Oryctolagus cuniculus: one gene and its partners. The protein of the gene in region 7 interacts with the protein of the main gene of each other region in a pairwise test. Links are inferred from orthologs where the notes say so. Each region holds a gene or a part of one and is shown on either strand. Other genes may lie near its edges. The genes, in order: MOS, PAX6, USP2, PSMA1, PKN1, EIF3D and HOMER3.

The links.
Region 1: the proteins of HOMER3 (region 7) and MOS interact in binary tests that used the Homo sapiens proteins (3 or more experiments, as listed by UniProt). The two-hybrid records come from large-scale screens. The link is inferred for Oryctolagus cuniculus from reciprocal best matches to the Homo sapiens genes HOMER3 and MOS.
Region 2: the proteins of HOMER3 (region 7) and PAX6 interact in binary tests that used the Homo sapiens proteins (3 or more experiments, as listed by UniProt). The link is inferred for Oryctolagus cuniculus from reciprocal best matches to the Homo sapiens genes HOMER3 and PAX6.
Region 3: the proteins of HOMER3 (region 7) and USP2 interact in binary tests that used the Homo sapiens proteins (3 or more experiments, as listed by UniProt). The two-hybrid records come from large-scale screens. The link is inferred for Oryctolagus cuniculus from reciprocal best matches to the Homo sapiens genes HOMER3 and USP2.
Region 4: the proteins of HOMER3 (region 7) and PSMA1 interact in binary tests that used the Homo sapiens proteins (3 or more experiments, as listed by UniProt). The two-hybrid records come from large-scale screens. The link is inferred for Oryctolagus cuniculus from reciprocal best matches to the Homo sapiens genes HOMER3 and PSMA1.
Region 5: the proteins of HOMER3 (region 7) and PKN1 interact in binary tests that used the Homo sapiens proteins (3 or more experiments, as listed by UniProt). The two-hybrid records come from large-scale screens. The link is inferred for Oryctolagus cuniculus from reciprocal best matches to the Homo sapiens genes HOMER3 and PKN1.
Region 6: the proteins of HOMER3 (region 7) and EIF3D interact in binary tests that used the Homo sapiens proteins (3 or more experiments, as listed by UniProt). The two-hybrid records come from large-scale screens. The link is inferred for Oryctolagus cuniculus from reciprocal best matches to the Homo sapiens genes HOMER3 and EIF3D.

Annotation. Positions count from the first base shown.
Region 1 is NC_091437.1:81,358,481-81,361,600, reverse strand, and holds MOS (proto-oncogene serine/threonine-protein kinase mos), read left to right. Parts: upstream 1-1,352; coding exon 1,353-2,399; 3' UTR 2,400-2,404; downstream 2,405-3,120.
Region 2 is NC_091432.1:34,172,728-34,176,942, forward strand, and holds the start of PAX6 (paired box protein Pax-6), read left to right. Parts: upstream 1-1,250; coding exon 1,251-1,260; intron 1,261-2,862; exon of another isoform or gene 2,863-3,230; intron 3,231-3,266; exon of another isoform or gene 3,267-3,738; intron 3,739-4,215. UniProt on the Homo sapiens protein: Transcription factor with important functions in the development of the eye, nose, central nervous system and pancreas. Required for the differentiation of pancreatic islet alpha cells.
Region 3 is NC_091432.1:110,941,745-110,945,975, reverse strand, and holds the start of USP2 (ubiquitin carboxyl-terminal hydrolase 2), read right to left. Parts: upstream 3,016-4,231; 5' UTR 2,876-3,015; intron 2,412-2,875; exon of another isoform or gene 1,912-2,411; intron 1,086-1,911; exon of another isoform or gene 926-1,085; intron 1-925. UniProt on the Homo sapiens protein: Hydrolase that deubiquitinates polyubiquitinated target proteins such as MDM2, MDM4 and CCND1. Isoform 1 and isoform 4 possess both ubiquitin-specific peptidase and isopeptidase activities.
Region 4 is NC_091432.1:51,702,825-51,707,063, reverse strand, and holds the start of PSMA1 (proteasome subunit alpha type-1), read right to left. Parts: upstream 2,827-4,239; 5' UTR 2,433-2,826; coding exon 2,430-2,432; intron 2,288-2,429; exon of another isoform or gene 2,052-2,287; intron 1,294-2,051; coding exon 1,249-1,293; intron 982-1,248; coding exon 880-981; intron 765-879; coding exon 661-764; intron 1-660. UniProt on the Homo sapiens protein: Component of the 20S core proteasome complex involved in the proteolytic degradation of most intracellular proteins. This complex plays numerous essential roles within the cell by associating with different regulatory particles.
Region 5 is NC_091447.1:63,091,952-63,096,256, reverse strand, and holds the start of PKN1 (serine/threonine-protein kinase N1), read right to left. Parts: upstream 2,812-4,305; 5' UTR 2,797-2,811; coding exon 2,740-2,796; exon of another isoform or gene 2,457-2,739; intron 1-2,456. UniProt on the Homo sapiens protein: PKC-related serine/threonine-protein kinase involved in various processes such as regulation of the intermediate filaments of the actin cytoskeleton, cell migration, tumor cell invasion and transcription regulation.
Region 6 is NC_091442.1:113,759,856-113,763,575, forward strand, and holds part of EIF3D (eukaryotic translation initiation factor 3 subunit D), read right to left. Parts: intron 3,371-3,720; coding exon 3,238-3,370; intron 2,760-3,237; coding exon 2,612-2,759; intron 1,639-2,611; coding exon 1,508-1,638; intron 880-1,507; coding exon 794-879; intron 710-793; coding exon 580-709; intron 1-579. UniProt on the Homo sapiens protein: mRNA cap-binding component of the eukaryotic translation initiation factor 3 (eIF-3) complex, a complex required for several steps in the initiation of protein synthesis of a specialized repertoire of mRNAs.
Region 7 is NC_091447.1:65,895,544-65,899,956, forward strand, and holds the start of HOMER3 (homer protein homolog 3), read right to left. Parts: upstream 2,929-4,413; 5' UTR 2,787-2,928; intron 2,167-2,786; exon of another isoform or gene 2,013-2,166; intron 1,848-2,012; exon of another isoform or gene 1,412-1,847; intron 635-1,411; 5' UTR 593-634; coding exon 579-592; intron 485-578; coding exon 328-484; intron 173-327; coding exon 41-172; intron 1-40. UniProt on the Homo sapiens protein: Postsynaptic density scaffolding protein. Binds and cross-links cytoplasmic regions of GRM1, GRM5, ITPR1, DNM3, RYR1, RYR2, SHANK1 and SHANK3.

The DNA of each region.
Region 1 (3,120 bases), on a different chromosome or scaffold from region 7:
TATGGGATGTTGGCAAAGCAGGTGGTGGCTTTACCCACTACGCCACAGTGCCAGCCCTCCTAGTTTCCTACATGAAAATATTGAGGCTCAAACAGGTTAACTATTATACACAGGATTGCATGCTAAGCCACACAGGGAGCATAGAATGGAAATCCTTTTTCTTTTCTAGGACCCCACAGACATCAAATTGCTTATGTCAGTGGTTTGTATTTACTTACTTCTCAGAACCAGTATACTTCAGAAGCATATAACTGTCATTAAAATGTGTTTCTGAGTCACCTATGTGTTTATTGATGCTTTAAAATATGGAAACGTTACCATTCGAGTATTTACAAATGTAGATGCTACATTATTAGGTGTCTTCAACAAATGGGGTAATATCGTTCTTTTTTTCCAAAGATGTGAATGTTAATTTGTGTTATAAGAACCAGAAAGAAAGAATTCATGGTTTCTTGTGCCATTTTTATTTTTTCAGATTTTTCCACTTCTATAATTCCCCCATCTCTGTGATTATTTAAAGCTCTGACCATGGCTCAGAATCACTTTTGCTTTTCCCTCTCCCCTAATTCCGCTTCAGTACTTCAGCTCATTTGCTGCCGAGTCTTATGTGTGAGTTTGCCAGGTGAATCCAATTGCTGTGGAAAGGAAGGATGGTTAGGAAGTCAATGTGACGTTAAGGAGTCTTGCTAATCTGCTGTGTAAGCTGAATGGAGAGACAGAGAATTCTTTTCCTTGATGAATCGAGGAGGTACGTGTTTTGACCTCTGTGTGTTTCTATTTGGAGTGATTCCTTTAAGGTTGCAATTTAGTTAGCTACATGAATGTTGCACCTAATTATCTCTGAAACAGGTTAAACAAACCTCTGCTGTTCCTTGCTCAACTCTTGCAGCCAATAACTGCTGGAAGTGATTTAATGCAGCTGGAGAGTAACCCTCACAATCATTATAGCCTGCAAAGTGTGAAACAATTACATCGTATTTTTGTGATCTCTTTGGTCCAAGAACGTGCATTGGACCAGAGTTGAAAAAAAAAAAAAAAGCCTCTTCCTATGAAAGATCGCTGTGTAAGTAGGGTGAGTTTTGGGACAAACTAGTGCTGTTTATCCGAGGAGAGCTTATTTTGACGAGAATTCACTTTAAGTGTGGAAGGAAAAACTCTCTGCCTGCCCGGCATCTGATAGACCCTTGCTGAGCGAGAAGCGCAGATGTAGCTCATTTGGAGAAGACGAAGGAAGAGGAGAAAAAGGAATGGGGTGGTGTGAAGGAGTGGTCCTTCATGTTTCCGAACTCCTGCGGTTTTTCCTGATCTTTACACTCACCTTGGCCTGGGGCTCTCTTTAGGGAGCGCGTACCATGCCCTCGCCTCTCGTCCTGCGCCGCTGCCTTGCTGCCAGCGAGTTGTCCCCGTCGGTGGACTCGCGGCCGTGCAGCAGTCCTTCGGAGCTCCCCGGGAAGACGGGGAAGCTCTTCCTGGGGGCCACTCCTCCTCGGGCCCCTCGGCTGCCTCGCCGTCTGGCCTGGTGCTCCATCGACTGGGAGCAGGTGTGCTTGCTACGGAGGTTGGGAGCCGGAGGGTTTGGCTCTGTGTACAAGGCGACTTACCGTGGCGTCCCTGTGGCCATAAAGCAAGTGAACAGGTGCACCAAGAACCTACGAGCATCCCAGCGGAGTTTCTGGGCTGAGCTGAACATTGCAAGGCTACGCCATGACAACATCGTGCGAGTGGTGGCTGCCAGCACGCGCACGCCCGCAGGCTCTAACAGCCTAGGGACCATCATCATGGAGTTTGGCGGCGACGTCACATTGCACCAAGTCATCTACGGGGCTCCTGGCCTGGCTGCGGAGGAGTCGGAGGCGCCCCACCATGGCACTGGGGAGCAGTTAAGTTTGGGCAAGTGTCTGCAGTACTCCCTAGATGTCGTCAACGGTCTGCTTTTCCTTCACTCACAAAGCATTGTGCACCTGGACCTGAAGCCCGCGAACATTTTGATCAGCGAGCGAGATGTCTGTAAGATTGGTGATTTCGGTTGTTCGGAGAGGCTGGAAGATCAGAGGTGCTGTCCCCCTTACCACCTGGGAGGCACATACACGCACAGAGCCCCCGAGATCCTGAAAGGAGAGGCTGCCACGCCCAAGGCCGACATCTACTCTTTTGCCATCACGCTCTGGCAGATGGCCACCAAGGAGGTGCCCTACTCCGGGGAGCGTCAGTACGTGCTGTACGCAGTGGTGGCCTACAACCTCCGCCCGTCTCTCTGTGCGGCTGTCTTCAGGGACACTGTGCCCGGACAAAGGCTTGGGGACATCATTGAGAGCGGCTGGAGGGCCAGTGCTTTGCAGAGGCCCAGTGCGGACCGCCTGCTGGTGGACCTTAAATCCTTAACCACGGAGTTCACCTGACTCCCGACCCGTTTCAAGATAAGCTTTTGTCTTTATTTCTATCTACTTTTAAGGAAGTGGAGATGTAGAAGAAAACATATTCGTAGCATGGATTTTTTAAAAAAAAAAAATAAAGTTACTGCAAACTTGAGTCTCAAATGCCTTTTCTTTGACAAATGGCAAAAGCTACGTGTTTAGTGTTGTTGCTAACTTACCTCATACTTTATATAGTTTTCTCTCCATAGGTCCAGTGCTTATTTGAACTATTCCATATGTTCAAATTTGTTGATAAATAACATATATATTCCATATATTCAAATTTGTTATTGATAAAAATATTTTGTCTAAAACAGGATTCCATTGCAGAAATGCTACAATTTTCTGAAATTCACACCATATGGTCCATCTCTACCACCTACATCCAAACTATTAACAGATCACTTACAAATCAGGTTATATACCAGATCAGTAAAATATTTTTTTAAATGCTTTCTTTCTTAAATTCGAGGGATTGGGAGGATGAAAAAAGAGAGCGAGAGAGAATGCTCCCATCTGTTGATTCACTCCCCCCAAATGCCTGCACAAGGTAGTTGGGAGCTGGGAACTCAGTCCGGGCCTCCCAGTTACGTAAGTCATCTGCCTCCCAGGCTCTGCATTAGCGGAAAGCCAGAGTTGGGACCTGGGCTGGGAGTCTGAGCCAGATATGTGATGTGGGATTCAGGCATGTTACCTGGAGTCTTCA
Region 2 (4,215 bases), on a different chromosome or scaffold from region 7:
CTCACCCCCTCCTGTTCGTACTTTTTAGAGCAGTGAGGCGAGGTAGACAGCGTGTGTCACAGTACAGTAAAAGGGGGGAAGATCTAAATGCCAAAAGAGAAGTTAATCACAGTAAGTGAGGTTTAGGGGAAAAAGTTGGGCTTGCCACTTTTCAAAGTCCCCGAGGGGCCAGGAGCCAGATGGAGAGGGGTCTGGCTGGGGAGCTTCTGTGTGTTTGGGTGGGGGTGGGGGGCAAAGGAAAAAGAATAACCAGAGAGTTGGGTTGAGGGGAGCTGGGGTGCTGAAATTCCACAAGGAAGAGGGGAGTGTGGCCCTGCAGCCCTCCCAGAATGCTCCAGCTTGTACCCTCAGGCACTGCGAGGTCCACCGAGGTCCCTTTCCCTGCACCTCCAAACTTCAGGAATCATGCTCTCCACCTCCACCCTACCCCCCAAGTTCCTGGCCTTCACTGCTTCCTCTGTTTTCCCCTTCCTCTTCTCTTGGTTCTTTATATTTTTGGCCAAGGGGGACCCCCAGCTTCTCGGATTCTCCATCTCCCCCAATCCAGGACAGAGCACCCTTTTCCAAAAAGGTGGGGACTTGTGTGGGAGAGGCTGCTGGAATTGTAGGTGTGAGGCTGGGGCTGAGTGTGTCTTGGCAGTTCCCTGAGTCCTCGGCGCCGGCTCTTCCCGGAGGGTGGGGTTCGAGATTCCCCGCACCTCCGCGTTGGAACTACTGTAACCTACCCTTCTCTCCCTCTGTTTTGTCTTAGGGGGAAGACTTTAACTAGGGGCGTGCAGATGTGTGAGGCCTTTTATTGCAAGAGTGGACAGACATCCTTGATATCAGGCAAGTTTTTCCGAGACTGCTTTGGGCTTCAAAACCTGAAGCAGTCCAACTCATAATGCTTCTTCATTATGGTTCAGATGGAAGAAAACAAATTCAAAATTGGGTCATCATTTCTCTGATTAAAGGGTTAACTACTAAAGGATTTAGGGGAAACAGATTGAGAATGTTAGAGTGTTTTATTTGAAGCCCCAAAGTTAGCTTTCGCAAGCACTGGAGGGCAGAGCCGAGTGACCCTCCAATCGCCCCCAAGCTGCTCCAGGGATCAGTTCCTAAAGGAGTGTTCTGTCCTGGCCCCAGGCCCTGCCCTGTTGGGAGTCCAGGCCTACCTGGTGCAGCAGCCCGGGATTAACTCCAATTTTCTTGCTAACAGAGCCCCCAAATTCGAGCCCCGTGGGATCCTGCGGCCCCCAGCCAACGCCAGCATGCAGAACAGTAAGTGCCTCTCGTTTTCTCGGGCCTGGGGCTAGGGACGCGTGGTGCTGCGGGTTGGGGTAGGGCACAGGGGCTGGCAGTGGCCGCGCTGGCCAGGTCGCCTGGCAGGGGTAAAAGGCCGGTGATCTGCAGTGACTGCGGCCCACTCGGCATCCAGCAGCCGGCGAACGGAGGGCGTTTGCTTTGCGGTTCCCGATCCTGGAGGAGCAGGGGCTGCGCCCTCCAGCACAGCCCGCCCGAGTTTTTGAAGCTGCGGTAGAGAAACCCCATCCCCCCCAAATCCTGTAACTCACACCCCCCTCCCCGCCCCTGCCCGGGCTCTGACCCCGGGGAGAGGGGTTGGGCTGAGCAGGGCGGGGCGAAGGCGTCTCCTGGTTGCACTGGGGAGAAGGAGGCCCCTTTGGGCTTAGCAGAGGCTGAATGCTCCGACCGGGCGGGGTAGGGGGCTTCCCTCCCCCAGTCACTCTCAGGGCAGGCAGCTCCTCCCCTCCCCACCCCAACTACGGGCCTAGAAGGGAAAGGGCGCGGAGCACCCCAGCCCGCCCGCAGCGGGGTGGGGGCGGTGAGCGGCGCTGTGGGAGCTGCTCCCGGCTGCAGGAGAGAGCAAGGTCTGCGGAGAGGGTGAAGGCTGCGCCCAGACGTTGCAACAGCTGCAACTGCCCGGGCCGGGTTGTCGCGGGCCTGTAGTGCTCGGTTCTTGTGCCAGGGCTCTTGTGCCTCCCTTCTTTGCTCTGCCCAGGTCCTGTGGGCCCCCACCCGCCCTCGTGCCCAGGTGCTAGGTGCCTTCGTACGGCAGGGCTAGACCAGAGCTACAGCCTAGAGGCCGAATGAAACCAGGGCGGGCAGGGGTTCACCGCAATCTGTACGCGGCTTAAGGGCTCGAAGCGTGGAAGGGCCTAGATCTTCCAGCAACCTGCTCTTGCCGAACCGCGAGGGCTCCGAAGGGTCCTCGGCGCCCAGCCCATGTGTTCCGGAGGCGCCGGTCGCCCCCTGGTGCTGCTGGGGCTGGTGGAACAGGAGGCTCAGAATAGGCACAGGGGCGGCAAGCGACACGGCAGATTTGCGCAGACCCTGCCACACTCGGAGGCCTGACCCGGGAGGCACCCACCTTGGCGAGGCGAATGCCTTTGGCCACCCCAACGTGCGGCTGGCTTCCCTGCCCCTGGAGTTGAAGCTCCTCAGCCCGCAGTTCCCCGGGTGGACCCCGCCGGCGCACGCAGCGCTGAGCGATTGCCCCCGCGGCCTGGCTGGCGGGCCCCGAGGGGCGCGGGGTCGCGGGCCGGCCCGCGGGGCTTTGTGCCGCTCGTTCCCGGGTGTGCGCGAGGCGCGGAGCATCCAAATTGACACCATATGTTTTCCTATTAGATGCTTCGCGGTCGAATTCGAGGCGCATAATCATCGCCACTGGGCGAGAGCGCCAGCCGTCCCTAGGGAAGGGACACAATGATTGAGGCTTAACCTCTGAAGGGGAATTTAGAGTTGCGCTTCCTCGCTGCCATTTCGATGCTGGCAGAGGCGCCCTGGCCCCGGCGAATCCTGGGCGAGCACCCGCGGGCCGTAGCTGCGGAGGTAGCATGCCTTTTTTTTTTTTTTTTGGTCTTTTTTTTTTTTTTCTTTTTTGGTGGTGTTTGCGGTGAGCTGACAAGGGGTGAGGGCTAGCATGCTCCGGCCAGTACTTGAACTTTGGAAAGTCTCTTCTCTGCCTCTTCCGGACAGCCTTGCTTCCCGCCCCCCCCAAGGCCCCCTTGGCACAGACGCGGGGCTCAGTGAGGCGCAGCGGTGGAACAGACTTGGGAGGCACGGGAAAGCAATAAAGGGAATTTGGGAGAAACCGGAAGCACGGCTAGGCCTGGCTGTGTAGGAGAAGCAGTGTCCCCGCAGCGTCCCCGCCTGCGCTGGGCCCGGCCGGAGCCCAGATCCCCCAGACGCCTGTCACTTCTCATCGAGTTGAGGCTCCAGCCCCCCCCTTGGTGAGCAACCTCCCCCTCAACCACCTCAGCCCCAAGCCCTGGGCTACCCTGAAAACGCGGCTCCCCTCGAAGGGGAAACTAGTGCAGTTCAATCTCGTCTGAGTGATCTACAAATAGGGACGGAAAGGGTCGTTTTATCACGGTCCCGTTTGTCGTGACGATGCAATTTCCCGGAGCGGAGCACTGTCACAAAGTGACAAGGCTGCCACAAGCGCCCCGACTGATCTTTTCAATTAGCCTTCCATGCATGATCCGGAGCGACTTCCGCCTATTTCCAGAAATTAAGCTCAAACTTGACGTGCAGCTAGTTTTATTTTAAAGACAAATGTCAGAGAGGCTCATCATATTTTCCCCCCTCTTCTATATTTGGAGCTTATTTATTGCTAAGAAGCTCAGGCTCCTGGAGTCAATTTATCAGCAGGCTCCAAGGAGGAGAGAGGAGAGAGGAGAGCGAGCAGGGAGCCACGTCTTCTCCTGGGAAGGCTGCTCTCTAGAGTCGGGGCTGCAGGTTGGAGATTTTTAAGGAAGTGAAAGTCGGGGGTTGGCGTTGTTTGTGTGTCGGCGGTTTCTGGGGAGGGGGCTCACGCGGGGTGCTGACTCCTTCTGCTTGCTCTGTGAGGCTGCACTTGGGGGTTGAGACGGTGAGATGCACAGATGAAGGGCGGATGGCCTTTTCCTTTTCTGTTTCTGGATTTTTTTTTTCTCTAATGTCTGTCCCTGGCTGTGGGGAGGGCGGAGTTCAGCGGCGGAAGTCAGGCGAGCAGTGACGGCTCCGAGCCCCACTCGCGAGGCCCGGCTGCTCTGGGGTAGGAGCCGAGAAGCGGTGCTGACCCTCAGCCCATAGGTGGAGGCGCGGAAAACCCACACTGGGGTTCCTCGGCCACATATCGGTCGCTCTGGTTCTTCCCTACTTCTGACCATTTCCCTTCTATTAAACAAAACCGAACCAAACCCGGTGTTCGTGCTGTGCCTTTGCCAGAGTTTA
Region 3 (4,231 bases), on a different chromosome or scaffold from region 7:
GTGACAGCCCGGCGGCTGCCCTGCCACTGCCTAGGCCGAGAGCTGTTTCAGAGCACACCGGCACACGGTGAAAGGTGCCTTCCTGCTACCCGGGTGCCCAGGGCAGGTGAGCGGGGAGTCCCAGTCAGTGTCACCTCCGCAGGGGTGACCTCAGAGCTTCCCAAAGCTGCTTGCTAACAGCATCAGAATGCGCTGACCCCTGAAGGGCAGGGGGGAGGTGAGAGGGGGCCCCTAGCTGACACTCTCTGACCCGTACCCCTCGCTGCGCTGGCCGCCTGCTAAAGTCAGGGCACAAGTGTCAACCCTGGCAGGAGTGGAGGATGCGGGTAGAGGGTGGGGGCGGGGCCCACAGTCCGGGAACTCTGCCTGCTCCACTCCTGCCCTGGGGTGGCCACCTGCCCCCTCCCCGCCTGCCTGTTCGTGGCAGCTCTGTCTGTCTTGTGCTAGCACCGCCGGGCCCCTGCCTCAGCAAGGGACCATCCAGGGGAATCTGGGTCCCTCTGGTCTCTAGGGGGCTGTGCAGGGGCTCAGGGATGGGGGAGGGGTGATAGAGATTGGAGATTAGGGGGAGACTCCTGACTGGTGGAGAAGAAGTGGGAGGGCTCAGAGCACTGCCTTCTAGGGTGCGTCTTGATTTGGGGTTGGGAGGGGGTGGGCATCCCTCTACTTCCAAGAGGTGGCAAAGAACGGGACCTGCAGGCAGCGCTGGTGCCCATATATTCCCTCTTCAGGCGTGATCTGCCCAGACCCTCCCCAGGGAGCGTCTCCATCTCCCACTCTGTCCTCCAGGGATCGCTCTTTCCTCAGTCCTCAGCTCCCACCCATGGCTCCCACAGGCCGGGTGGGCAGCCTCGAACCACAGGCTACCCCAGACCCCTGGACGTCTGGAGGACAGAAACGCAGACACCAGAGGCACACGACTGACCTGTGCTGGGGGAGCTGGCGGAGCCTGGGGGCTTCTCCTTCCCGGGCAGGGCAGGGAACCCAGTGGAGGCGGAGAGCCCGAGCCAGGAGGCTGGGTAATCCGGGGCTCGGGTTCCGGCTGATATATATAGTATCTTATCTGACCTCCCTGAGACGGCAGCAACTCACTTGGATTCCAAGCCCCGAGAGAATTAAAGGGACAGTAGCAGGCCCACCCTCCGCCACTGCCCCACCTGGCCAGTGCCAGCCTAAGAGAGCCGCTGGGCCTCTGGGGAGGGGCGCGTGTGGAAGGGGGGACGGAGGGGTGGGGTAGGGGAGTGGGTGTCAGGAGGAAACAGGACAGGAAAGAGGGCAGAGGGGTGGGGGCAAAGGCAGAGGCTCTGGATCTGTCCACCACAGGGGCAAAGAGGGGAGAGGCCTCGGGGCCAGCCCAGCTCCTTTAACTGGGAGAAGGAGTGGGTCTCGGGGCACAGCGGCCAGCACCCAGGCTTCAGCTCCATACGCTTTCAGCATGGACGCCTCGGCCTGGGCTTGCATTCTAGCTCCTTCCCACTGGATCTGAGACAGTGAGCAATCACTGTGCTCGCTGGGCCTGGGCTCCTTGTTAGCTTATACAGGAGGAATAATAATAAAAGAAAATAATAATAATAGGGGTACATCTCACAGTTGTGAGCATGGATTAATCTTTGTGACATTTCCTGGCCTATAGAAGACTCCAACCCATGACGGTTAAACCGAACACTTGCCTTGGTTCCTGTAGCTTAGCGGCTGTACTAGAGCAGCACCTCACCCCGCGAATCTTCCTGGGAAGGGGACGTGGGCACCCTCTCCAACACCAGAGTGCCACAGGGCTCTGAACAGGTGCCTGGCCCATCAGTGGGAAGAGCATCTTTCTAAATGTCCTCTCCAACACGGGGAGGGGGGGGGAGTCAGCCCATCTGGGACCCTTCCCCCCCTGCCTGACCCTGCTGGGGGCTCCCACTCTACCTGTTCCAGAGCTCAGGATTCCAGGGCCTCGGGGCCGGGCCGCACAGGGTCGCAGGAAGGAGGAGGAGAGTTCTTGGTGCACCTGTCTGCTCCCGGGTAGTTTCTCGCTGGCTGTCCCAGAGCGCGGCGAGTTCCCCAGGCTGTGCCTCCGCCCCGTCTCAGCACGGGCTACTGACTCAGCCCTCGACCTGCTGATGCACTTCCCAGGCCGCCCGCGCCCGGGCTGTCATTCCGGTCCTCATTCCAACTGCAGCCTGGCACGTGTGTGCGGCATCAAAGGGGAGGGGGCAGCCGCGCTTCCCCGGGGCTGTTCTCGCGCCCCTGACGCGCGAGGCGAGGGCAGCAGCCCTTGCCTCCAGCTCCATCTTGGTCCCGCTCCGAAAGCAGCGGGCCTGGGAGGTGGAGCGCCCACTCCTCCGCGGGGAGCTAGAATGGGTCGTCCTGGGCTGGCTTCCCTGGGCTCCAGACTAGAAGTTGCGTGCCCCGGAGCACCGCGTGCCGGCGTCTGGGTTGGGATTGGTGAGGATTTCAAAGATGCCTCTTTCTGATTTGGGATTGGTGGAAATTCTCCCATTCCGCGTAACTGCTACCCTCCCCCAACACCCCCCTCCCCCGCTTCTGGCAAACTGACCACAGACAGCCGTCGCGAGCTTGGCGAGCTGCGCGCACGCGTGGGGAGGGGGCCGTCGGCGTCCAGGCGGTGAGGCTCAGGCCCCCGGCCCGCGGGAGCTGCGCTTCTCGGAACACACCGATCCGTACACAGATGGCTCTTCCTGGCACCACGGGCTGCCAGCTGGCAGCCCCCCTCGCACGCGGGCGCCCGCCGCTGGAGCTCCCCCGCTCAGCTGGCCCTCGCCCTACATTTCTGGTGCCCAGGCTGACGCTGACCTCTCACCTTCGGAACCTGAAACCGGCAACTGACCTCCGCACCCCCTGTTCCCGATCTCCGACAGGTGGCACGTACCTGCCTCTTCTCGGAGGATGGACGAGTCGAACCCGGCACAAGCATGGAGCTGCGGGTGAGTCCCGGCTGGTACAGGCGCGGTGCAGTGAGCAGCAGCTGACGCAGAGGGCTCCCTGGCCTCGGCTCCTGCCCGCCTCTCCCCCACCTCCGCCGGGGGCCCTGGAAGGACCTCCCCGGGAAATCGGCGCCACCCAGCGGGCAGCCACCTCATTGCACCCAGGCTGGCAGAGCCACGCCCCGCGTCTCACGGCGATTGGCTCGTCTCTATTGTGACGTCATCCCCTCCCCGCCCGGCCAGGGTCTCCCGGGCAACCGACGTACACAGAGTACCACGTGGAAGGAAAGCACGCCAGTTTGCAGTGGGTGGAGCAAGGACAGAAGTGGGGTGGATGCGACGCGGCGGGGCAGCTGGAAGGTACTGGGAAAGCGGAGGGGCCGGGGGCGGAGGGAGCCTGGGAACTTGAGCCCCGGGCGGATCCACTTTCAGTTTTTAGGAACCGCTGAATGTCACTGCCCCTTTCCACCGGGCTGGGGGAAGTCCTCAGCCTAGGCCTCCACTCCTTTGGCCTGCTCCTATAGGAGCTCCCTGCTCCGTTTACTTCCATGGATTGGTGAGTATTGATGACTACCCGATTGCATAAACAGAGACTATGGAAGGAATTCTCCTTCGTCATCGAAGAACTTGAATTTTTTTAAAAATTGTTTTATTTTTAAGTCAGAGTTACGGAGAGAGGCAAGAGAAATCTTCCATCTGCTGGCTCACTCCCCAAATGGTCACAGCGGCTGTGGCTGGGCCAGGCTGAGGCCAGGAGCTTCTTCTGGGTCCCCCACCTGGGTGCAGGGGCCCAAGCAGTTGGGCCCTCTAATGCTGTTTTTCCCAGGCCACTAGCAGGGAGCTGGATTGGAAGTGGAGCAGCTGGGACATGAACCTGTGTCTGTACAGGATGCCAGCTTTGCAGGCTGTGGCCTAACCTGCTGCACCACAACTCCGGCCCAAGCACTTGCACTTTTGACCTGCCTCCCCTCTCCACGTGCTTGTGAGGACCAAGTGGACTGGTGCCAGGGCAAGATCAGATTTTCAACCTCACTGGGACCAACAATGAGTACCTTCTCCATAGCAGGTGACTTCACCCATCTGCACACCCCTCAAACCCTCCTCCTCCTCTGTTTCCTGGAGAAACTAGGTGCAAACAGGATGTGGAGACCTAAGTTTCTACCTGCAAACATACCTGAATTCATTCTTCCCTCTGCGCCAGGAGCTGTGAAGAAGATGCCCCCCCCCATTTTTTAAAAACACAAGTATCCATGTGCACCTATGCTTTTTTATGTATGTATGTATGTATTTGAAAGGCAGAG
Region 4 (4,239 bases), on a different chromosome or scaffold from region 7:
AGCAAAGGTGGTATAGCTCATTCTTAAAAATGATACAAAAGTGTCAAGTGTTTCTTAGACATAACAGAGTCTCAAACAACACATGTTACTTTAAGTTATCACATTATTTGATGACTTCTCAAGTCTTAGTACCAGTATGTTGAATTCTATTAGTTACTATTACAAGAACCAGGATATGGAATATTCAGAAACTAACCCAATCCATTAAGATAGTCATAATATTAACTTATAAACATTCTGGCAGACAACTTCCCAACATAGTTTACCTCAGTCTTTTCATGATAAGTAAACAATTATGAGTCAGGGGCCAGTGCTGTGGTGCAGTGAGTTAAGGCCCTGGCCTGCAGTGCTGGCATCCCATATGGGCACTGGTTCAAGTTCTGGCTGCCCCACTTCCAGTCCAGCTCTCTGCTATGGCCTGGGAAAGCAGCAGACAATGGCCCAGGTCCTTGGGCCCCTACACCCATGTGGGAGAAGCTCCTGGATCCTGGCTTCAGATTGGCTCAGCTCTGGCTGTTGTGTCCATTTGACTAGTGAACCAACAGATGGAAGACTTCTCTTTTTGTCTCTACCTCTCTCTGTAACTCTTTCAGATAAATAAAATAAATCTTTAAAAAATATTATGAATCAGAGATGTTTGTTTTTCAAAATCATACTCACCATAACAGCCTAGCATCAGCAGTAAGCCCCGCAATTGAAATACCAATATGGTTGTCAACATGGAGAATTTTTTTCTGATGAGCTGCAAGCTCTGACTGTGCCCTCTAAATAGACATCATAAAAGATAAAAATAAGTTTAAAACTTTACTGCCTACACAGTGAAATTTTCATTTGATAATTTTGCTTTCTAAAGGAAGATATATTTATTGCTTTATTTACCTTCAATGCAACCAACACTGCATGGGTTTTTGATTTCAGACCAACTGTGGCTGAACCTTGCTTAACAGCTTCCATTGCATATTCAATTTGATGAATCCTGCCCTAAAGGGAAAAAAAACACATGTCTTAGAGTCACCTTAGAAGAGTTTCACAAATTAAGAATTAAGAGTCCTCAAACCTCAAGAGCACTGTTAAATCTCAAATGACTTTTTTTAAAACCAGAAAATGTATTGAATTATAAATTTAAGTTATGGGAGTGTCTAAAATGAATATATCCCATTTTCTCACAGTCTACAATCACACAACCTTCTAAACATATTGCAGCCATGAAAAAGCTCTTGAATGGAATAGTATGAAACATTATCTTACCTGAGGACTCCAAACAGTGACATCATTGTCATACTGGTTACGAAACTGAAAGTAAAAAAAAAGATCAAATTATTGTCAGAACCCTCCTCTTAATATTAAGAAATGTGTGATTTCATTACACATTAAAGTAACTGTTAAGGCAAACTCACTGGAAGATTACTACTATACTCAGTGGCAAGCCAAGTCTACAATTTCTATGAGCTGGGGAGGAAGGAACAGCTCTAAATGGGTCTCATCTTTCCAACTTTCTACCCAGCCACTCTCCATAGCGCTCCCTTTGGGTTCAACTATTGAAGTTTATATGCATCAAACTTTTTCTTTAAATGAGCTCAAATGTCTATCTCTTGAATTCTTCTCCCAAAACCCTCACAGCACGAAGTCCCACAGCTCTGTACACATCCTTTTCTATCTTAAAATTAAGGTTAGGGATATGTCTGATTATCTTTGAGCCTCCCCTGTACTTGCACTTTTGTACACATAAAATTTTTCTTTGTTACTTTGGGCTAGATACGAATAACTACGATACACTACTGTTTTAGACAATCTTCAAAAAGGCCTTTCACTACTTGGCAGAACAATCACAGGGGAGAGCGGACTGAACGCTGGACTCTTTGGCGTGGGACTTGAAGCCCACAGAACTACATTATAATCCTGAGTCCATCATTTCCCCTTTCAGGATAAGTTCACTCATTTGCAATCAGGTGACTGGACAAAGTGAAAGAGACCTTTTCTGATCGCGCCCTAGGGGGCTGATAAGTCGGACGGACCCACCAAGGAAAGGGACGCGATCTAAGGACACACACCCTGGGTCTAGACCGCCCCGGCGGTACAAGGCCGCCTCCGAGTCAAGTCCCGTCTCTCTATCGTCCAGAGCACGAGGGATCGTTTTGGACCTCTGGGAATCTACTCCGGTGAGGGAACTCGAGAGGCGGACTCGACCACTTCATCGAGGCCTTGAGAATAGCGAAATGCGCCGTGAGGAAAAGGCTGCACCGGCTACCGACCGCAGCTCGCCAGGCCAGGCCGGAGATGCTGAATCACTGCCGGAGCCCTCCCGCAGACTGGGGTTCCCATGCCCCGTGGCCTCGGGCCGCTCTAAGAACGGCAGGAGAATTGGTTCGCCATCCCCAAGTCACTGGGACCTCTGCCCTAAACCTTCGAAGGATCGGGACCCAACGCACCATGGTTCCGTCGCCGGCCTGGCTGCAGGACTCCTAGCGAAGGTGCGGAGTAAGGAACGCAGCCGAAACTACCGCTCGGCGATCTACAGAAAAGGCTGCGGGGTTTTGACGGCGGCAGCGCAGGGTAGATCAGTCTATTCCGGAGCTATCGATAGGTTTCCAGCGCTTCCTCGCGCCCTCCTGCGTGGGCGGGGCCCTGGGAGAAGGAGGAACTGAGATTGGCGGGAAACGTAGGCCCCGGAGTGCAGGCAGTGGCTAAACAGCAGCTCGTAGCCCGTCCTGGAGTCTCAGGTTCATCGTCCTCAGAGATTTGAGCTGTGTGTGTCTGAGAAGAACGAGGCTTCAGGAAAGGCCACAGAATAACGCCTGTTTATGTGTGTCAGCCATACTCTTCCTCGAGTATCTTGCTGGTGTGCGTTCTTTGCTTTGCACTTATGAATCCTCTGCCTTCCTTAAATCTCTTCTTCGAAGACCCTGATACCAGCAGCCCTTCATTTTTTATCACTGTTGTTTTCCTCCTCCGGACTTTGAACTACTGTCTTTCCATGCCCTCAGAACCAAGCAGACACCCGATAGATTAGATTAGGCCGCTGAGAATAAAAGGACTTTTTCTTCTGAATTATCTATTTTCTTTTCGAAAGGATCTTCTGGCAAATCCCCAAATGAACTAGTTTGAGACAGCTCTGAGCATAGCTGCCAATAACACCTACCAACTGGTAATTCTCTTTTTAAAGAAGAGGTGAGTGCCTAGATTAAGGTGACATTGGAGCTGAAAGCATCCCTTCGGGATGAGAGTTTTGCATGTACAAGAACTGGCTCAGGTGGTGTGGTCAGGTTCGCAGCAGTGTAGAATCACACTGTTTAGAAACCTTTGCATGTATGTGTTTGAACGCTTTCTTGTCTTCAACATTTTGCAGGTCAAACAAAGATGCCCTGGTATTCTGCATTCTGAACATATATTTACCCAGATCCCTATTGTTTGATATTTAGGTCCTTCCAAATAACTCACGAACTGTTTCCTATATATGTTTAACATCCATATTCTTTTCTTTTGAGTCAGTTCTAGGAAATGGAATTACAGGTTCAAATGAAATGTATAATTTTAAGGCTTTTCATGAAAAGAGCTAAATTGGCTTTTAGAAAAGTTTTACTGTTAGGTCCTCAACTGTAGTATATGGGGTTGCCCCCCTCAAATTTGCAACAATGGTTATTGTCATTTTTAAAGTAACAGATTAAATTAATAGTTCATCTTTTTGATGTACACATTCCTAGCATGTATGAAGTGCTTAATAAATATTGGCGAAGGGAATAAAGAATGTTGAATGAGTGACTAAATGCCCATTTAAAAATTGTCATGTAACATATTTATGGTTATGTGTTGCATACAAATCTGTCAGTTCTTTTACATATAAAATTATATTAAACTATTTTTAATACTATTAAAAAGTTATAGCCATTTTGTTTTCATAAATATTTCTGAAATATTTATGAAATGTCTATTATATTTTCAGTAGTTGTATAGTGTTCTATTGTGTGGAAATGAGATAATTTACCTTACTATTGGTGAGCAATTAGATTCTTTCCAAATTTTTGCTATTATAAAAATACCATAATGATGATTATACATTATTTGGTGTACTTTCCTGATTACCTCCTTATGATGAATTCATAGAAGTAGAATTGTGGGGTCAGAGGGAATGCACATTTGTAGTTAAGATTTATATGGCTAAGTTGCAAAAAAATATTATATCTGTTTACATTCTACAGTGCCTGAGAATCCTCTTTCATTGTACCCTCACCAACATTGGAT
Region 5 (4,305 bases), about 2.8 Mb from region 7:
AGAGGTGTGCCTGGGACACGGGCTCCTAGGGGTGCTCACTCCCACACCTGCAGAGGTGTGCCTAGACACACTCCCACACCTGCAGAGGTGTGCCTGGGACACGGGCTCCTAGGGGTGCACACTCCCACACCTGCAGAGGTGTGCCTGGGACACGGGCTCCTAGGGGTGCACACTCCCACACCTGCAGAGGTGTGCCTGGACACAGGCTCCTAGGGGTGCACACTCCCACACCTGCAGAGGTGTGCCTGGGACACGGGCTCCTAGGGGTGCGCACTCCCACACCTGCAGAGGTGTGCCTGGGACAGGGCTCCTAGGGGTGCTCACTCCCACACCTGCAGAGGTGTGCCTGGACACGGGCTCCTAGGGGTGCACACTCCCACACCTGCAGAGGTGTGCCTGGACACGGGCTCCTAGGGGTGCTCACTCCCACACCTGCAGAGGTGTACCTGGGACACGGGCTCCTAGGGGTGCACACACTCCCACACCTGCAGAGGTGTGCCTGGGACAGGGCTCCTAGGGGTGCTCACTCCCACACCTGCAGAGGTGTGCCTGGACACAGGCTCCTAGGGGTGCGCACACACTCCCACACCTGCAGAGGTGTGCCTGGGACACGGGCTCCTAGGGGTGCTCACTCCCACACCTGCAGAGGTGTGCCTGGACACGGGCTCCTAGGGGTGCACACTCCCACATCTGCAGAGGCTCCTGGGCTGTGCACACCCCCAGGCCTGCCTGCCTGCCTGCGGACATGCATACACCGGTGAGTGCTGCTCGGGTCATTCCAGAACCGACCCAGTGCACACACACACACACACACACGCACGCACACATACACCCCGTGCCCAAGTGCACACAACCCACATGCTCCCACACGCAGGCGCCCCTGCAGGTCTCCATGGCACAACTCCAAGGCCTCCAACCTTTGTGACCTGAACATGTCCCTGTGGCCGGACCCTCCCACGCACCCCCTGTCCCCAACTTCCCCTTCAGGGTCAGGACAGCGCGTCTGCTAGGCAGTCCCCCCACCCCGCCTCTTCCTCCACAGAGACCGCCCAGCTTCCTGCTTCCTCTCTGGCTGGCCGGCCAGCGGCTGCTGACCACAGCTTAGAGGCTTAGGGCGCTGGGTGGGCCCAGAAGCGGCTCCCTGAGCCTGACCTCATGAAACAGCATGGGGGGGGGGTGGGGCTGGGACACGAACGTCCCCAGGCCAGCAGCCCACAAACCACACCCTGAGCACACATTAACACTCGAGTTCAGCTACGAGGACCAGCAGTTGCTGCAAACCTCACCAAGGGCAGCTAACACAAGTGCATGAGCTGGGTGCCATTATCAGCCCATTTACAAGAGCGCATAACTGAGGCCCAAAGGGCCCCCACCAAGGTCCTACCGCCAGCAGGAGGCAGGGCCAGGATTTAAAGCAAGAATTCTCCAGGGGTAGGTGTTATAAGGTGCAGCATCTGCATCCCATATAGAGGAGTCCCAGTCGCTCTGTGCTGCCAAGCCAGCTCCCCGCTATGGTGTCTGGGAGGCAGCAGGTGGTGGCTCAAGTCCTTGAGTCCCTGCCACCCATGTGGGAGACCCGGATGGAGCTCCAGGCTCCTGGCTTTGGTCTGACCCCGTCCCGGCCGTTGCAGGCATTTGGGGAGTGAACCAGCAGATGGAAGATCTCTGTCTCTCATTTCAAATAATCTTGACCCTGAGCAGGGCCCTTATTCTACTCACTCCACAGGGTGGTCCTCAGTGGAGGGGGCATTTCCTACCCATGCCCCCACCCCCACCCCGATGTCCCATCTGGCACGGGACAGCACCCACCAAGAACCACCCAGCCCCAAACATCAGCATGCTAAATGCTTGGGCCCCTTCCAACCCCTCTCCTTCCAAGAAGCTCCGGGGTTCAAAGGTCATGAACCCACCAGGATTTCACAGCCAGGCGGCTTCCCCACAAACGCACTGGAATTTAAATCTAGGCTTACCTAGGGCCACCCCGGGCTCAACCAGGCCCCGCCCACCCCTCCCACCGCCAAGCCCCACCAGTCCCCAGCAGGCATGAGCAGACACAGCCAGGAGCAGGACCGCCCAGGCAGAGGGGTGGGGCAGCTCCTCCTCCAACAGCTGAGAGCTGAGATCCAGGGCGAGGGCTGCCGGCCTCCCGGGGCCTCCCTGCTGGGGGTGACTCACTTTTACCCGGGGGTGAGAGGTGACCAGAGAGCCAGCCAAGCAAACCCAGCCATCAGGGGCCCCGCCTGGTGTTGGAGAGTCCCTGCTCCTCCAACCTCCCACCACGGAGCAGGAAGACCCCAGACCCAGACGGCCCACCTCCCAGAATGCCCCTCTTCCCAAAGCAGCCAGGGACCTAGACCCCCATGCCGCGCCCCCCCCCCGCCCCCCTTGTCCGGAGATTTCAATGCCTTGGGTGTTTCCGGAATCTAGACAGGACATCCGTCGGCCGGACACAGAACAGACAGGCACACGTCGGCGCTGGGGACAGAGGGACAGGGCAGCAGCGCCCCCCCATCCCCCCATCCCGGCAGCCACGAGAAAGCGATGGACCAGGAGGGAGGGAGGCAGGGAGGGAAGGGAGAAGGGGGAACCAGGGCACGGGTCCAGCCTCATTCCGGAACCACAGCCTCCGTGTGGGTCCTACGTGGTGCTCGGCAAAGCGCATGCAGGCGCCAGGGGTCTCCTCCCCGGGCCTGGGGGGCAGGCAGGGACCCCGGCCCATCCCGGCGCCCGAGGTCTGACCTTGTGTGCACGGCAACACCAGATACGCCCAGCTCCTTGGCAAGGCTGGCAGGCCATCAACAGGACTGAGGGTGCTGGGCACAGGGGAGACACGGAGGGGGTGGGGGTGGGGAGCAGGTGCAGAGGAGAGAACCTGGTTACACACACGACACACACACAGGGCGGCGGACTGCAAGGTGAGACACAGCCACGGATCAGATTTGGGTCACTGAACTCCGCGATGGCCCAGGTCCCCCTGGTTACAGGTGAGTCTGGGAGCAATATGGCCCCCCTAAGGGGCACAAGGAGAATAGGGAGGGCTGAGTGGCCAGCTGAGGCCAACCATGTGTCTCCGTGGAGGTTTGGGGGGGGCAGGGGTTCCCTAAGGGACCACAGGAACATCCCGGAATGGTCCACTTGGACACTCCCCCAAACTCCCGCGCCCTGTCCGACCTAAGGTCTACCTGGCAATCCAAGCGGTGTGCGAGGGGGTCCCCAGCCGCGCCCCCCACCCCGGTCTCCTCCCACCCCGGACCTAATGAGGTGACTCGGACACTTCCGCCAACAGGTGCCAATCTGGGTGGCGTCCGGACCACGGTAAATTAGCTCCGTCCCGAGGCGGAGGTGGCAGCGCGGGGGAGGGGCACGGGCCGGGCGGCCTCCACCCCCCTCCCGGGGCACCGGGCCAGGCACCTGTCCCAGGTGGAGCGAGCGGCACCTGCCAGAAACCGAACGCTGGGGAGGCGGGGGTGGGGGGTGAGTAAGGAGGATGGAGTCGAAAAGAAGGGGGTCACACATCCAGCCAGAGACGCCCCCGCCCCAAGGACCACCTCGAACGCGCTCCCTCAGATTCCCGGGGAGGCGCTGAGTTTGGGGATGCTGCGAGGGCCTCCAGACCGTACCCCAGCCCACCCGTCCCCGGCCGCCCAGTCCGTACCTTCACCTGCAGAGAAGGGGGCCGTGCTGGCTCCACGGTCCCAGCCCGGGGAGGGGGCGCCGGGCGCTCGGGAGGCCCCCGCCCTCGCCGCCCGGCTCCCGGCGTGCCCGGCAGCGTGCGGCCGGGGGTCCCCGGCGGCGCCGTCCGCTCGCCCCGCGCCTGCGGACGCAGGTGCGCCTACCTGCACGGCGTCGCTGGCCATGTCCTCCTGCCGCCCGCCAGGGGTCCCCGCGCGGAGGGAGGGGCGGCGAGCGGAGCGCGCGTGCGCCACGGGCGGGGCGGGCAGGGGGCGGGAGCGGCGCGACCCTGCCCCGGCGCGCGGCCCGCTCCGGCCTGCTCGGCTCCGGCCCCGCCTGGCCAGGCCGCCGCCGCGTCCGCGCGCGCCGCGCCCTCCGGCCCCAGCGGCCGGCTCGGTCACGTGACCGCCGAGGTCGGCGCCCGGGGAGGGGGCGGGGCCGGGGGCGGGGCTCCCGGCGGCCCCCGGGGCTGCGGCCCCCACCCCACCGCCAGCCGGGAGCGCCTCCTCCACCCGCTACCGCTCGCTTCTTGTGCCTGAGTCCCGCGCGCTCCCCGCAGCACAGCGGAGCGCGCGGGAATCCTAAGGGCCGGGGGGAGCGGCGGAGGTCTTGGGGGGCCTGCTGGGACCCCCT
Region 6 (3,720 bases), on a different chromosome or scaffold from region 7:
AGGGCAGCAGCAGGTGGCCCAAGTGCCTGGAACCCCGCACCCGTGTGGGAGACCCGGAAGAAGCTCCTGGCTTCAGATCGGTCTAGCCATTGCAGCCATTTGGGGAGTGAAGCAGTGGATAGAAGACCTAACAGCAGAGCTGGGCCTTCGGGCTTCCTGCCGATGGGCCTCCGTCCCGCACAGCAGCCCGGAGCCCTGCCGCCCCCGCAGTCCACCCACGGCCCAACAGCACCGCGCCAGCACGAGGGAGGACGTGAGGGAAGCAGCTTCCTGTGATGCTGAGCGAGCGTCCGAGTCCAGCACAGGCGGCTGGGCCTGCAGGGAGACCACCGGCCTGGACGACAGGCGGGGCGGGAGCCGGACACGCACACGGTGGACGCCAACAGGGGTCAGGATGGAGCGGGGATGAGGACAGACCAGGGGAAGGGGGCTGCTGCTTGGCGGAGGCTGCTGAAGCAGTGCGTTCTACACGCCCACGCTCCTGCTCAGTGAGGCGCTAAGCGGAGGGAAAGCTCAAAGCACGAAAACCAGACAGAGTCAAGGTGACGGAAGGAGGCGGCTCCTCCAGCTGGGGCTCACCCTGGAATCCCACTCGTTGAGGGTCTTGATGTTGATGAAGGACACTTCCCCGTTGGCTCCGGTCATGACCCCGTCGTGCTCACAGCGCACGATGAGGTCAATGTCGTCCCCCAGCTTCCACCTGCGGTAGCTGCAAGGACGGAGCAGTGCTGGGTCCCGGCCCGGCCCTCGCCCCACCTCCCGCCAGGAGCTCGCGCCCCCGAGAGGCGCCTACCGGTACGCAACGGAGGCGATCTCGTTCTTGTCCATGTCGTCCTCCACGAACGGGTTTGGGTTGGGGAAGTTGTACCGCTCCTTCCCCTGCAGGAGGCCAGACAGGCGTCAGGCCTGCTGTTCCCTCACCCTCCCGACGCCGGCACTGAGTTCCGACGCGCCAGTCCCGTGCTACCCCCACAGCACGGCTCCTAGCCAGCGTCCGCGCCCCTCCGCTCCGCTCCCAAGGGAGGGCTCGGCTGGTCCCACCGCCTAGAGCAGTGTCATGTCTGTCAGACAAGTGCTAGAACGAGGGGACTTCACAAGTCTGGAGAATGGAATTAAAAGGTAAGTTTATTCTGTGCAAAAAACTGAAGTCCACACAAAAGGAGTCTTCAAAACATTCGTGGAAAATGTGTTGAAGATGCATCATTTTCAAATTTTTGTTGGCACCAAAACAAACACCTTTTCAATCCATTTTCCACAAACTTGTTAAAGAACTCGTGTGTTATAGTTTTACAGGGAGGAAACACGCCAAGGCCACAAGCTAGCTATTAAGTAGAGGAATCCAGGGTTCAAAGCCAGAAAGTCTGACTTCAAAGCCCAAGTCCAAAACTCCTCGGCCACAGGCACGGACCACACCTGTCCCCTACAATCCCATAACCCCAGAGCCCAGTCTGAAGCAGGTGCAATCGGTGGCAGCGAAGCTGCCGTCAGCTCACGCCTGTCTGCTCACCATTCTCAGGCACTGCTGGGAGAAGTTGTGGTTGATGTATGTCGCTTCCATGGCCAGGTTGCGGGGCGAGTTGAAGGAGTTGCCTTCATCCTGCGGGGGCTCATTGGCTGTCTCGCTCACGGTCAGCAGGTCTGCGGAAATGGCAGCGTGGTCACCCACCCTGGCAAGAGCCCCCAGCAATGTGGACAGTCCCAGGACACAGGCCCTCCCTTCATGGGACAGCCAGCCACTGTGTGACACACTTGGGTAACTTCAGAATACTTGATTCTGTCAGCCTTTCAACAAAGAAACGGCCTCAGGCTTCAAGCTTAGAGCACCATTATTCCAGCCTGCGCTCCGGCTCACTAGGCTAGGTGCCAGCACCCCGGGGCTCTAGTCCCGGCTGGGGCGCCGGAGTCTGTCCCGGTTGCTCTTCTTCCAGGCCAGCTCTCTGCTGTGGCCCGGGAGTGCAGTGGAGGATGGCCAAAGTGCTTGGGCCCTGCACCCGCAGGGGAGACCAGAAGTACCTGGCTCATGGCTTTGGATTGGCGCAGCGCCGGCCGTAGCGGCCATTTGGGGGATGAACCCACGGAAGGAAGACCTTTCTCTCTGTTTCTTTCTCACTAACTGGCTGTTAAAACAAACAAACAAACAAACAAACAAACCAACCAACCACCATTATTCTCTTTTATCTTCTGAGTGGCCTGGTTTTCATTGTGGCTGTGTGTGTATCCATATTTACACATCAAATAAATATATTGTATTGTTTCCTTGGTAAACTCACTGCAGCAAAAAACAACCAGGGGGCCTTCCATTTAATCAGAAATACAAAGTGCACATAGTCTGGAAGCAGAGTGTGGTGCCATCCACACCTGGGGGAGGCAGACACTTTCCTACGGCTCTCCAACGTGGGGCTTATTCTCCGTCAACAAAGCCACCCAAGGCTTGGCGAGCGACTCACGGCCGGACAGAAGGAGTCCCCAGCGGTGCACAGCAGAGGGAGACCGCAGAAGGGGACGTGTTGGCTGGCCCGCTGTGACCAGCACACACCGTGCACACCCTGAGACGCCCACTGTGACCACACCTCCCCCAGGCCTTCGGGCTGTGCCTTGAAAAGCCCCTCACCAAAGTCAGAGTTGTCCCGCTTGTCGAAGAAGAGCTTGGACCCGACTCTCTGGACCACGATGTCCCAGGAGTACACGGAGCGCGTGCAGCTCATCAGCGTGGCCAGGATGGCGTCAGTGGCGAACACGTTCCCCTGGGTCTTAGCCAGCTGCAAGGACGAGACACCCCCGGTCCAGCTGCCCACTCCCGCCTCTGCTCGCCGCACGGCCCCTGCCTTTCTCGTCCCTACGCCTCCCCGGGTGCCCGAGAGGGCTGCAGCCTAGCAGCTGGAGCGTCCGTTAGCAGCGTCACCAGGACCGTGGCTGAGCCCCCGCAGACTGTGGCGAGTGGTCCCTGGTGGCTCGCCCTGCTCCCCACGGCACGGCCGCGTACACTAAACCCCTTTCACAGATGAGCAAACTAAGGCTGCGGAGCTGAATCCAGGCGGCCCGGCAGGGCTGGGATCCGGGTCAGGCACTGTCCACACTCATCTACGCCCCGGCCGCCCTTGGCCTTGTTCCCATCTAACCGTCAGTCTGACTCCAAGACTTACGTAACAGTTCCAACCACACACACAAACGTGCCGCTCTCAGCCGGCCCCGGGGCTCGGCCGTGATCCCAGCGGGGAGGGCGGGGCGGGGGCAGACCTTGCGGATCACGGGGTCGTCCGTGGTGGTGACCGTGTGGAAGATGCGCTTGATGCTGCGCAGTGGCTTCTCGCTCCGCGTGGTGATGCGGTCGAAGGCCTTGTCGTAATATTCCAGGGCCCCGCAGCACTCGCTGTGGGAGAGGCGGACAGACAGGGTAAGGGCGGCGCCAAGCCCGCCGAGGCCTGACCCAGAGGCTGAGGCACGGAGACGGAGAGCAGTGAGCTCTACGGGGGGATGTGCTCTCTGTGGGCTCTGCCCCTGCCCCCACAGAGCGGGGCAAACGCAACCCCTGCGCCCAGCCTCCTCGTGCTACCTGTTCCCCATCAAAGGTTTACTTGAAGGGCAGGGTGACAGGCCTGCCATCCCCCGGTTCATGCGCCCAAAGCCCTCAACCACAGGGCGGGGCCGGGCAGAAGGCAGGAGCCTGGAACTCCACCTGGGTTCCCACATGGGTGCAGGACCTCAGCACCTGGGCTATCC
Region 7 (4,413 bases):
GCCCATTCTGCAGCCTGGGAAAACAGAGGCCCAGGCGCACCTGGGTTAGATGTTGCTCCGAGGCAAAGCCGAGGCCGTAGACGGTGTTGGCGCGGCTGTCCGCCCACTGCCCGAACTTCTGCGAGGTTTTGGTGAAGGTCATGTTGGGGGTGACGGTGCTGTTGATGACGGCCTGGGGGTGGGGTGGGGGCAAAGTTGACAGGCGCTAGCAATGGTGACCTTGAAAACTCTCCCCCATTTGACCTCGCAGGGGTCAGTGGGGGGGGTTCCCATGCCCCGCGGCACACGGCAAGGTGGGGGGACCAGCCCCAGGACCACACCCCCCACCTTGGCGCCTCCGATGCTAATGATCCGGTAGACGTTTCGGGTGGCATCGTAGAAGTAGGACACGGTGAGCGCATGCTTGCCCGCGGGAATCCAGTTCCGCTTGGTGGCCGGGTCGATCTGGAACACGTGTGCCCGAGTGCTGAAGATGGGCTGCTCCCTGCGCGGGCAGAGCGTGCTTAGTGGGGGGTAGGGGTGTGCTGGGTGCCCCCCCGGGGGGGCTGGGCTCAGGGTCAGGGCAGCTGGGCGCTCACCTGGCTGTGGACATTGGTCAGACCGGGCTGGGTGGCCGGAGCTGCTGGTTTGGCCCCTGTAGAGAGGGGAGGGGCCTCTGAGTGCCCCCTGTGCCAGGGTGAGGCGAGCCACCAGCAGGTGCACAGACCTTCAACCAGGAAAGTGCAGAACGGGAGCAAAGGGGTCCCATCCTCCCCTGTCCGGGGGCAGCGCCCACAAAACCCGGTGCTCGGGGACTCCTGACATCCCAACCTGGCCCTGGGTACCAGACCCCCCCCACAGTCCCCCCTCCATCCTGGGGCTATGCTCCCGACCTGCCAGCACCCATCCGTCTCCAAACCAGGGCCCTTCCGCCAAAATGTGGGGCGCTGCCAGGTGCCCGGAGACCAGCTCCCGACCGAACTCCCAGAGAGTACCCCTCCCCCCCCCGCAGTCACCCTGGGGCACCGGCGCACCTTAAAGACAGAGTCCAAATCCCCAGGGACCCACCCCCCCATCCAACGCAGGTGCCCTCCAGGGTGGGGGCAGGGCAGGATCCAGGAGGGGGCAGAAGAGGGTCCCCCAGTCTCCCTGTTGCTTCCCTTAGCCGCCACCCCCAGGAAGCTGCCCCCAGGACCCCCAGACCTGCACCTGCGGGGGACCTCCGAGATCAGAGGCCGCGATGCCCCTTCCCACAGGCTGCTGTGGGGGGGGGGGGGTCCGAGGCTCAGAACACGGAGCCCCTCCCCACCGGCAGGGGGAGCGGCGGCCAGGGGCGGGTCCCGGGCGCGGCAGGATTAGGGGGGCGCAGAGGTGCCCTTCCGGCCCCGGGCCCGCCCCCGCCGAGACTGGGGCGTTGGGACAAGTTACTCACCCACGGGTCACGCGTCCAGGACGCCGCCGAGCGCGCCCGGGCTCCCGCCGCGGGGTGGGGGTGGGGGTTCGCCACCTCCCGGGGGCCCGGGGCAGAGGCCCCACACCCTATGCGCCCCGGACTCATCCGCCGGGGGTAGGGGACACCCCGGGCGCGCCCCCACCTCGGGACGTCGGAGATCCCCGCGAGAGCCCCAGGTCCGCGACTCCGGGGGCCACCTTCCCTGCCACCCCCACCGCCCGGCGCGGAACTTCGGGGACACCCTGCTGACGCGGACCTCGGAAAGTCGGGGATCCCCCCACCCCGCGCGCGCAGCCTCCTCCGACGCCGGGTGCGGAACGTCGGGCACCTCGCGTGCCCAGCCGTCCCCTCCCGGCCCCCGACTTCGGAACTTCGGGGACCCTCCCCCGCCTCGGCCGCCTCTCCAAGCCCAGATCTAGAACTTCGGGGACCGCCCCCTCGCGCCGCCCCCCGCCCCAGTCCCCAGGTCCGGAACTTGGGGATCGCCCCGCGGCTTCCCCCCTCCCCCCAACCTCCGCCCGGGCCCGGGGACTCCGAGGCCCCCCGCGCTCCGGGCGCAGGATCGGCCGGCCGGGCTCACCCTGCCGGGTCTGCGCCCCGCTCGCTCCCAGCCTCCGGGGCCCGCGCCCTCCGCGCCGCCCAACGCGCCGCCCGCGCCTTTGTCTGCGCCGCCGCCGTCCGCGCCGCCTCCGGTCCCATCGCGGCCGGTCCCGACGCGGCCGCCGCCCGCCCCGCCTCCCCGGGCCGCCGAGGCCGCCCCGCTGCGCCCCCTGCTGGCCCCCGACGGCGGGCGGGGGAGGGGGCGGGGGAGGGGTGGGGATGGAGAGACGGACGGAGACGGACGTCCGGACAGGGACAGGAGGCGGATGCGCAGAGCTGGAGGGGGGTGGGGGGCTCTCGCCCTCGGGCCTGGGCTGGGGGGGCAGCCGGGCGGGGCTCAGGAGCTGGGTGCGGATTCTGCGCCCAGGAGATGCAAACAGTAGGTGCTCCATAGGGGTTACCACCGAAAAGAGGAGACGTGGGTGGGGCAGGGCTGCCTGCCTGGGCCCCTGGGTCTCCCCGAGAGGACCCCAGGCCCGCAGGTGGAGTGACCCACGCTGGCCACGCTGCTGGGGGCAGGGCCTGCCCCTCCCCCCCCAACACGCCTTTCTCTGGGACTTTCTCCGGATGCCCCCCCCCCCCCCGCCACTGTTTTGGGTTCATGGGTTCAGGTCCTGCAACAACTCAGCCCAAGGGTCCCCGGGGCTCTGGGCCCCACCCCCGAATCTTCCCACAGCCTCAGGGGCTCCCCCCCCCAGCCCCCGGCACCCGTGTGTCTCGCTACCCAGAATCCCCCAGCGCAGCCGGTGGCCACCTTTCACGAATGAACGTTGGGTGGATCCAGGGTCCGGCCGCCTCCACGCCTCCCCACCCCGGACGCGCTCCGTTCCTGGGCTCCGAGGCTCAGCTCCGCTGTGGTCCGCCTCCTCCAGGAAGCCTCCCTTGGTTCTCCCAGGCTTGAAAGAGACTCTCCCCCGACGGCCCCATTGCTTCCCAGGGGCCTCCGTACCGTCCCGAGCGCCTTGTGACCCCGCGTGGGCCCCTCCTCCGGGGGTGGCCCAGCTGCTGCTGCACCAGCCGAGGGCCCGAGGCACAAACTCTCGGGAACACGGGAGCGGGGTCTGTTCTGTCCACAGACCGACCTTTCCTTAGGCCCAGCAAAATCATTTTTTTTTTTTTAATAACTAAATCGGTTTCTGGCAAGCCCGGGGCTCCTGGAAGCCACCCCGGGTGTGCCGAGTGCTGGGCCGGCTGCCCACGTGGGTATCAGGGCGGGGGAGGGGAGAGCAGCTGGGCAGGGGCCCAAGCTGACTTTGTTCCTAGCGTAGGCAGAAAGCAATGGTGTCTGTGTGTGCGAGAGAGGGAGAGAGGGAGAGTGAGCGAGCACCGAGTGGCTGCACTGAACCCCATTCCCAGCTTCTGGGAGGGGCTGGCACCCGGTTGGCCTTGAGCAGCCCTGACCTGAAGCCGTCACAGCCGGGCTTGAGGGGGTGGGCGTGGTTCCCTGGGTGTGGACCTCAGTTTTCACCCCTGGGAAATGGGTGGATGCTGGCAGGGCCGGAATGAGCGGTGGGGAGGGGAGGAGGTGGTGTAGACCCGGCTGTCCCCCAGTGGTGGAGACAGGAGAAAGGGCTGCCCCGAGCCTCTGCCCCACCCCCACCCCAGCCAGAGCCCTCCCCTGTTTTAATGTCTCTGGTCCGAGGGTCTGGGGAGGGGCTTCTGCTCCTCCCTGGAGCGCTCCCTTCGGCCCAAGCAGGGGCCCAGCCTCCCGGGTCCCGCGCCTGTCCGTGCCAGGGTTCAGCTCCCGTTCACCTCCCGCGTGGCTCTGTCCTGCTCCTGGATCAAGCCGGACCTGCAGCAGACACCACGCAGGCTTTCAGAGAGAGAGGAGCCCCAGTGTCTGCCAAGCCCCCTGGGGGCAGCAGGTGGCACCGGCTCAGGTACTCGGGCCCCCACCACAACACCAGGGCCGGGCCGGGCTGAAGCCAGGAGCTCCCTCAGGGCTCCCATGTGGGTGCAGGGGCCCAAGGACTCCAGCCATCTTCTACTGCTTCCCCAGGTGCATCAGCAGGAGCTGGATCAGAAGTGGGGCAGCCAGGACTCGAACCCGGTGTTCGTATGAGAGGCTGGGCCACCGTGCTGGCCCCCACTTGCCCCTTTCTTTCCCCTGTCCCCCCTCCCCCGGCCATAGCAATTTGGTCCAGCTTCCAGACTTTAAGCGCTTGGCAAACTCCTATTCACTCCTCAAAGCCTCACCTCTGTGTCCACCTCTGACTCCCCCCCGGGCCTGAGTGCACCTCGAGAGCTGAGACAAACCCGTGTCCTCCCAGCACTGGCTGGACGCCTGGGGGTCAAGGGCGAGCGAGAGTGTGATGCCTCGGGGGCACAGCCGCCGGAGACCCTGCCTCAAGTTCAGAACTTGACCTCTGACTCAGGCCAAA